Linked DNA regions of Saccharomyces cerevisiae S288C. The gene in region 1 interacts genetically with each later gene. Each region holds a gene or a part of one and is shown on either strand. Other genes may lie near its edges.

Region 1 (4,351 bases):
TCGTTTAGAGTTGGTTTAGAATACTTACTCAAAGTCATGTTGAAATAGTAGTTTGTAAAATTTGCTTTTAATGTAGCTGGTTTTCTAGCTTAATTGATCAAATAAGAACAGAACAATAAAGGACGTTGCGAAATAATATCTATTGATCTCTGACGAGTATTTATACCCTATTTCCTCTCCATTACTGATGGTGATGTGATGTGATGTGGTGCTATCTTGTCACCCTTAATCCATTGGCCGCCTTTGCTAATCCCGCGCGCATTTTCCCTTTATCACCACCACGCCGTGCGATGGACTTGAAGTATTTACTATTGATAAAATAATACTGAGAGATTAAAGACAATGTACTGAATATAAACTATAGCACTTCAACGACCGCGGGCCTGAAGCGGATTAGGAATTAAAATAATTATTATAGAGATTGGGTAAAAAAATGTAAATATTTCTGGCAAAATATTGTAACTCAACTGTAAGAGGACAGCCGGAAAAAAAGATTCAGTTCATGACCTTGCATTTACCTTTGCCCTCTCCGGTGGGTTAATTTCCTGCGTTGTAGTCCCGCCCGGAAGCCTTTCCAATTGCTCCACCGTATCACTTACAGCTGGAACGCGCCCATTGCTAGGCCTTGTTAAACCGTAATCCGTATCTAAAGAGTTAGCTTGGTGAACTACAGCAGCGGGAGGTCTTTCTAAAGAATTAACAGATTCTGATGAACATTCTTGTACCAATGGCGGGGGGGCCACGTATGCAGCCTTATCGTTGGGGTGAAACTCGCCCCGCTGGTCATAGTATCCAAGATCATGTTCGTTCGCTGTTTCTGTATACTCAGGAACATAATCATCTGTCCGTTGCTGAACGGTCCCAGTATATTGTTGCTGAGACTGTCTGTATGAAGGCGGTGTCAACCATGCCGTACCTCTAATGGGAGCACGCCCCATCCTTCGTCTCCTTCTGTTCGCTACAAAAGTGAACAGTATTATAAGGATTACTGCGGCAACAAACAGCACAAACAAAATCCATATTCCTGACTGCCATGACGACGATGATGGCCCATAGTAACTAGTCACAAATTTGCTAACGTGATGGTTATCTGCCTTTTTCACCTCGTTTATCGCCTCATTTTCGTATGAAATAAGTCCCATTCCTTATTCTTAATTCGAGTTATACTTTCCTATTTATTGGAATGATCAATAAGCTATTACAGGTGCCTTTTCTGCATGAGCTTCCTGTCGGTCATTTAAATACTTAAAATAGAAAATCCCTTTTAAATCAAACTTTTTTTTTCAAGGCTTAGTTGAAAAAAAAAGTAAGCCTCATCATCGAAAAAAGACATAAAAGAGAGGCTTCGAGAGAGGAGGCGGAATAAGACTAAATTAAAATATGATTGTGGGGTTGACACTTTATTTTGTATTATTCCGTTCAATACAGTATTTACTGGTTTTTTTGACTCCAATTAGGCAGTTTGATACATCAACATCACTTTTATTAAACGAATTATGTTCTTCTCCCTCTGAAATCAACAGTTATTGGAACAAGTATTTTTGGAATAAGCTACTATCATGGGACAGTGTTTTTTTTATCAAGAACATAACTTCCAAAAACGGAAAACCTCAATTTGAGCATGAATACGCGTTTTCTCAGTTGTGGACTTTTTTCGTTAGGCTGTTTATTAAAAGTAATAACGATAGCATCTACCATGCCTTAAGGGTTGGAGTTGCAATAGAAAATGTTTTATTTTACTTGTCAGGTATTGTTTTATATTTTCTAACAAAAAAAATTTTCAGCCAAAATATAAGGCAATCACAGTTTGCTAGAACTATCGCTAAAAAAACATCTCTGTTGTTTTTCTTAACGAGTGCCGCTGGATTTTTAACAAGCATATATTCTGAACCATTATCTTTTTTTTTTGCATTTGTTGGTATTTGGAGTCGTGAATGCTCCATTTCCGTGCCCGTATTGGGTCAATTCGATATTTCGTGGAGATATTGGTTTCCTTACTCCTTTATCAGCATGGCTTGCTTTACCTTAGCATCCTTGAATCGTTCAAACTGTGTTTTGTTAGGGATTTACTTTATTTTTGACCTTATTGAACTAACAAAGAACAGGAAGTTTGTAAAAGCAATATGTTTCCCACTATTATCAGGATCATTAATGTTTTCTGCTCTACTATATCAACAATATTACCTACCATATAAGACATTTTGTCCTCAAAGGGGTGAATGGTGTAAATCTCAATTGTTTTCAAGCATTTTTATCACGAAAACTTCTTTATATTCCTACATTCAGAGTCATTATTGGGGAGTTGGGTTATTGAAATACTGGACCCCAAACAACATCCCAAACTTTTTGTTTGCTGTCCCAAATATTATTATTTTAATCTATTCCTCCATATATTTCAGCAAAATTTATCCCTCCTATAACTTGAAGGCTCTCGTATGGATCACCAGAGCACTGGTCGTCATAGTATGCTTTTTTGCCCATGTCCAAATTCTGAATCGTATAGCCTCCTTTTTACCCTTGCACCTTTGGTATTTGGCTGATAGATTGGTTAAAACTTCTGATCCAAAAAAAATGGAAAATCCGAAAGGTGACGATAAGATAGTCAAGTTTTACATATACTGGTTGGCATTCTGGATACCTTTACAGACTATCCTATTTGCAGCTTTTTTACCACCAGCCTGATCCTTAATGCTTGTATATTTCTTCTTTTACTAAAAACATATAAAAACTATTTACATATAGAATATAGAATAATGCGACACTATGACCTTCTTCATTTTCTCTTTATTCTTCACCCTTTATTTGAAATTTCAAGGTTTACTTTCTTCTTGTTAGTATACTATTAGTTAAAAACTCTAGGGCAGAACGAGCATCAGATTCAGGAAGAGAATCCCGTAGATTTTGTAATGCCTTGTCCCTATATTCCTCCGCTAGTATTTTCGTCTTCGCTATACCATTATGGAGTCTCACAGAATCAATAGTTTTTTCAACATCACCCCTCTCTGAAAAATTGCGTGAAATTAGTGGACCTAAAGATGGGTCTTCTTTCCATGCAAACAAGACTGGAGCAGTAGCAATACCTAATTTTAGATCCGCGCCGGATGGCTTCCCTAAATCTTTTCCAGACACAGTAAAATCAAGCATATCATCTACGAGTTGGAAACATATACCTAGATTTCTACCGAAATCATAGCATTCGTCGATAACGGCAGGTGATGCCCCAGATAATATAGCAGCACATCTGCAAGATTTTGATATCAAAGCAGCAGTCTTCAGATAGGTCTTGTGTATGTAGTATTCAAATGCAGTTTCTATAATCTGATCATGAGATAATTGCAGCCCCTGTTGGCGGCTTGGAACACGAAAGTCGTGCTCTTTAACTTCAAGCTTTTTAGAAGGAACCGGAAGTAGCTTATGGCCATTTTCGATGGTATCGATATCCGCGTCAATGGAAGTATTTTTCAGTTGCATGAACTCACCTTCGACAAGATTCGCAATACTATTAGACATTAGTTCTACGACTTCGGGGTTGTGTAATCTTGAAATTGACACTGTTGCTCTCCCTAAGAGAAAATCACCCGCCAAAACGGCCATCTTGTTGGTAAAGGCAGCATTTCCGCTTGGCCTTCCTCTTCTTGTATCAGAATGATCAATAACGTCATCATGAAGTAAAGACGCAGTGTGTATCATCTCTACAATCTCTGCTAATCTTCTCTGTTTGGGTAAAATCCCTCTTTGTTTGTCAAAAGTTTCTTCTGGCAAAGGCTCAGGACCTTTTGTCAAGGGATTTAGTGGTTTAATACCGTGAAGAATATGTAGTGGGGATATGCTACTTGCAGGACGTTGAAATAGTTGATTTTGACTAGGTTTAGAGTAAATTGGGTCCTCAGGAACATCCGACTTGTCAATTTTCAAGTGATTTCTTTCTGTCATGGGAATTTCAGAAAGTGCTCTTGACAACAACAACACTAACAAGGGACGTACTTTTTTGCCTTCTGTTTCAAAATAGTAACTAGTAACCTTGTTTAGCACCGGATGGCCAGACCCGATGAGGGCAACTATATTTTTGGCCAATGTGTTCATCTCCTTCGAGACTAATGATATGGGATTATTCCAAAGAATCTTGGGAGTTACCAACTTACTGGCAGCGTTTAAAGCAACTGCAAAGGAGGATTTAAAGCGGCATCTTCGAGATGAAATCAATTTGATGTGATGAGCAGCGCCAGACCTTTGAAACATCGTCCCACTGTACTCAATTCGGACTGAATGGCACACTTCTTGTGTTGTAGAAAATCTCTATAGATTATAATGTGTCTTACTTTAATCTTCTAATCCCCTAACCCTGTTACCC
Region 2 (3,913 bases), on another chromosome or scaffold:
ATTGTAAAGGGGAAGCTACGGTGGTGTCAAATGGGGGTAAAAGTTTTTCAGCAACTAACCTTGGTGCGAAGAACTTGTAGGCATTCATAATTGTTTTTCTTTTCAATTCTAGTTGGTCATCGTAAGTTAAGAACTCTAATTGACTTCCTGAAGATTTCCCGAAATATTTATCCCTAATTAAATCATCTCTTCTCATTGGAGATTTTTCCACTACGTCTAATAAATCACTCTCGACATAGTAAGGGTGGGTCTTAAAGACTTTGATATTAACTACATCACCGGGCAGGCCAAACGGTATGATAACAACTTGCTTCTTTTCTGTTTCAACAGGATTATCGATCAAAGCCAACCCGTTGCCATTGGAAGTAATTTCTAAGACCTTGACATTTTTTACCTCTCGGTGATATTGTAAGACGATAGGTCCATCTGTTGAGGACTTATCATTTAGAATTGAAGTAACATCGTTCAGAACCTGCTCCCTGGACAAATTTTGAGATTTTAACAAATCGTTCACTTCAAATTCTAGGACACCCATCGGAGAAGTTGTTTCAACCTTTTTGGCCTTGTACTTTCTCAACTTTGGCTTCTTAGTCCGGCGGTTACCAGAATCTGTCAAAGGAGACGAAAGCCTTTTGTTGTCAACGGTATGTTTCATTGTTGGTGGTACCATTTCAGTACTTCCAGTCATGGTGCTGATTAGTTTATAATTATGCTTCTTGACAAAGTTTCTGCAAGCGAAAAACCTAGCTTTAAATATAGACTTCTGTACGGTCCAAAAGCAACGCATGCATGTGATAATACTCCAGCGTTTTATCGATGAGATGAGATGAGCTTTATATTTAACCTTATTGTCTGAATTTTCGAAGAAAAAAAAAGAAAATTCAAACTGTTCGTACATAATGACTTTGTCCTAAACTATTCCTCTAAAATAAAATGACAGATTTGTACTTTTATGTCACAGAAGCTTTTATTAAGTATTTAATGTAATTAGGCTAGATTAATATCGAATTAGTACTTTATGACATCGAATTAAAATGAATTATTATGATAAAATTGGGATAAATTCGAATATATTGGAGCGGTATATCACACCAGATTCAGAAAAATGGAAGTTAAATTAAATCAGGTTCTAATTGTTTCGTCTTGATAAATAAGATAGCGGAAGATAGTAAAATGTGTGTATTTTTTCTTGCCACTTTTCAAATGTTGTAAGTGCGTACAGAATGGGCAACAGAATAATCTTCATCATTATTCTTACATTATAATACACTTGTTTTTTCTTAATCTTTTCGTTCCGGAAATAGAGACGCTGGTATCTCCAGTAGAAGAATCGATATCTGATCTGGTGGTATTTCTTTTAAAGGGATTTTTGATTGTATGTGTAGGCTCTCTGGGAGCATATAATGAATCGGAAAGTAACGTGTGTATGGCAGTTTCAAATACTTCATCGATATTTTCTTTCAATCGTGCTGAGCATTGAATATGTGCAAATGCCCCCAGACGCTTGGCCAAGGATTCTGCTGAACTTGGTTCCACCAGATCTGAAAGGTTATCAGCTTCATATAGATCTGATTTAAGGCCGACTAGCATGATTGGAGTGGAAGGACAAAAATGCTTAACCTCTGGGAACCAGAGATCTTCCACATTTTTAAGCGATGTCTTACTACCAACAGAATAGCACACCATCAGCACATCTGCATTCGTATATGAAAGCGGTCTAAGTCTACTATACTCTTCTTGGCCGGCAGTGTCCCATAATGCCAATTCTATAATTTGACCGTTGGGTCCTTCTATGTTTGTGACATAATTTTCGAAAATAGTAGGAATATAATCAGTCGGAAATGTTCCTTGGACATAAGATATCAGCAGGCACGTCTTCCCTACAGCGCCATCTCCCACAACAACAATCTTTAGGTGATAATCTGGCAGTTTGTTTGTACGTTTCATCTGCTCATAACTAGGAATGGTAGAAAGGCTTCTAGCGAATGGAGTAGGCAATCTGGGAAGATTCTTTTCATCTAAAGTGCCAGGTGATTCAGGAAGATTGCTACTTGAGGGCGATCCCTGCGAAACTATGTTACTTTCGTTCCCACAATTGCCACCTTTTCGCTTAAATAATAGTGTATTCATGAAAAAGCGTTACTATTGGAGATTTTTGGACCTATTTGACTTAAGTTTGCTGTAACTTTTGAGGGATGCTTATCATGTCTTTTGTCGTCTTAACGTAAGGCTATAACTACTTAATCAGATCATCCCGAATTGATGCGCGGAAGGTCGCATTGTACGGATTCTAATAAATAAGCTAATGAAAGGTAAACAAACATTACATATAAAAATTAACAGAAAGCATAGAACATAGAAGGGCAATAATACTCGTTCAGAGCTTAAATTGGAAAGTACGTCAAAACGTTTTTTAGGCAATGTGCAAGAATGAGGCAAGACTTGCTAATGAGCTGATAGAATTTGTTGCAGCTACTGTAACGGGTATAAAGAATTCTCCCAAAGAGAATGAGCAAGCATTCATTGATTATCTACATTGTCAATACCTTGAACGGTTTCAATTTTTTTTGGGATTATTGGATGGGAGAGAGTTCGACACGTTGTTTGTCTTCCTTTTTGAAGAGCTGGATAGAACAATAGTTACAATAGACATTGGTGAAGAGGCTATATATGATGCCAACTTGGCGAATAAAAAGTATTCTACTCTATTAATTATTAAATCTAGAAGTGTTATTGTGGATGCAGAACCGATTGCAACACAAATAAGTGCCATATACTTACCTGGTCCAGTAAATGCGGGGAACCTGGCCTCAATTATCACACATGGCGTATCGTCTGTGTTTGGCCAATTGATAAAATCAGATACAAAGACATATTCTGTCGAAACTATAGATAAAACGAGGAGGAAACTTGACGACATTTCTAAACAATTTCAACAGTTACATACCTCAATTGAAACGCCAGATCTTTTAGCGATGGTCCCTAGCATTATCAAATTGGCTGTATCAAAAGGGGCTACTTCACATGATTATGCAAACTACCTTCCTAGTAATGATTTGGAAAGTATGAGATTTTTGAACATTTTACAAAGCATTGCAAACAAATGGTTTTTGGTTCTTAAACAAACATTAGCCATTGACAGAGATATAAAAAATGGTTCTTTTTTAGACGAAGTTGAGTTTTGGTCGAATTTCTACGAAGTACTGAAGTCGTTAATTGAACAAACACAAAGCCAAGAATTTCAGGTGTGTCTATCCGTTCTAACAAACGCAAAGAGATTTCATAATTTAACAAATTTATTGAATGAAGGTTCACTTTCAGATAAATTTAAGCTAGCGGATAAATATAACCAATTTCTATCGTCAATCCCTATCGATGAGGTTCGCCAGGCAAGCAATCTTGAGGACTTGCAGGAACTATTTCCTGTTTTAGCATCTTCTTTGAAGAAGTTCAGATATTCAGGTTATCCAGTTCAAAGATTTGTTGTGCTGATGGACAAAATTTCACAAGAAGTCATGGATGCAATTCTAAGTAATCTTTCAGATTTATTTCAGCTAGAGTATGGTTCTTTTTTGGGTTTATATGAAAAATCAGCAGGCATGATAGAAGAATGGGATGATATTGTCCAGGATGTCAATCTTTTAATAAGAGAGGATCTTAGGAAAAGAGCACCACAGGAGCTACTTATACAAAAGCTAACATTTACAAGTGCATCCGTAAAGGCTACTTTGGATGAAATTTTAAGCACACGCAAGCGATTTTTTTCATTGGCAGAAACCATTAAGAGTATATCCCCTTCTACTTATCACGAAGAAATACAGAGATTGTATCATCCATTTGAGCAGATCCATGATATTTCCGTGAATTTTCGATTGAAATTGGAGCAAGCCGAAAGTGAATTCAGTAAAAACAT

Evidence for each region. Genes that interact genetically often act in the same process or in processes that back each other up.
Region 2: mutations in RCR1 (region 1) and RHO4 together harm fitness more than expected from each alone (negative genetic interaction), as found in Saccharomyces cerevisiae (2 studies listed by BioGRID).

The regions. Positions count from the first base shown.
Region 1 is NC_001134.8:242,697-247,047, reverse strand, and holds RCR1 (Rcr1p), read right to left. Parts: upstream 1,143-4,351; coding exon 501-1,142; downstream 1-500. Other genes in the region: UGA2 (succinate-semialdehyde dehydrogenase (NAD(P)(+))), read right to left, coding at 1-38; GPI-anchor transamidase GPI18, read left to right, coding at 1,381-2,682; COQ1 (trans-hexaprenyltranstransferase), read right to left, coding at 2,818-4,239. UniProt on the Saccharomyces cerevisiae protein: Regulates chitin deposition in the cell wall.
Region 2 is NC_001143.9:546,433-550,345, reverse strand, and holds RHO4 (Rho family GTPase RHO4), read right to left. Parts: upstream 2,131-3,913; coding exon 1,255-2,130; downstream 1-1,254. Other genes in the region: TRM2 (tRNA (uracil(54)-C(5))-methyltransferase), read right to left, coding at 1-898; DYN1 (dynein heavy chain), read left to right, coding at 2,421-3,913. UniProt on the Saccharomyces cerevisiae protein: Plays an important role in cell growth. Required to keep the uninucleated state. May be involved in the organization of the cytoskeleton which affects microtubule functions.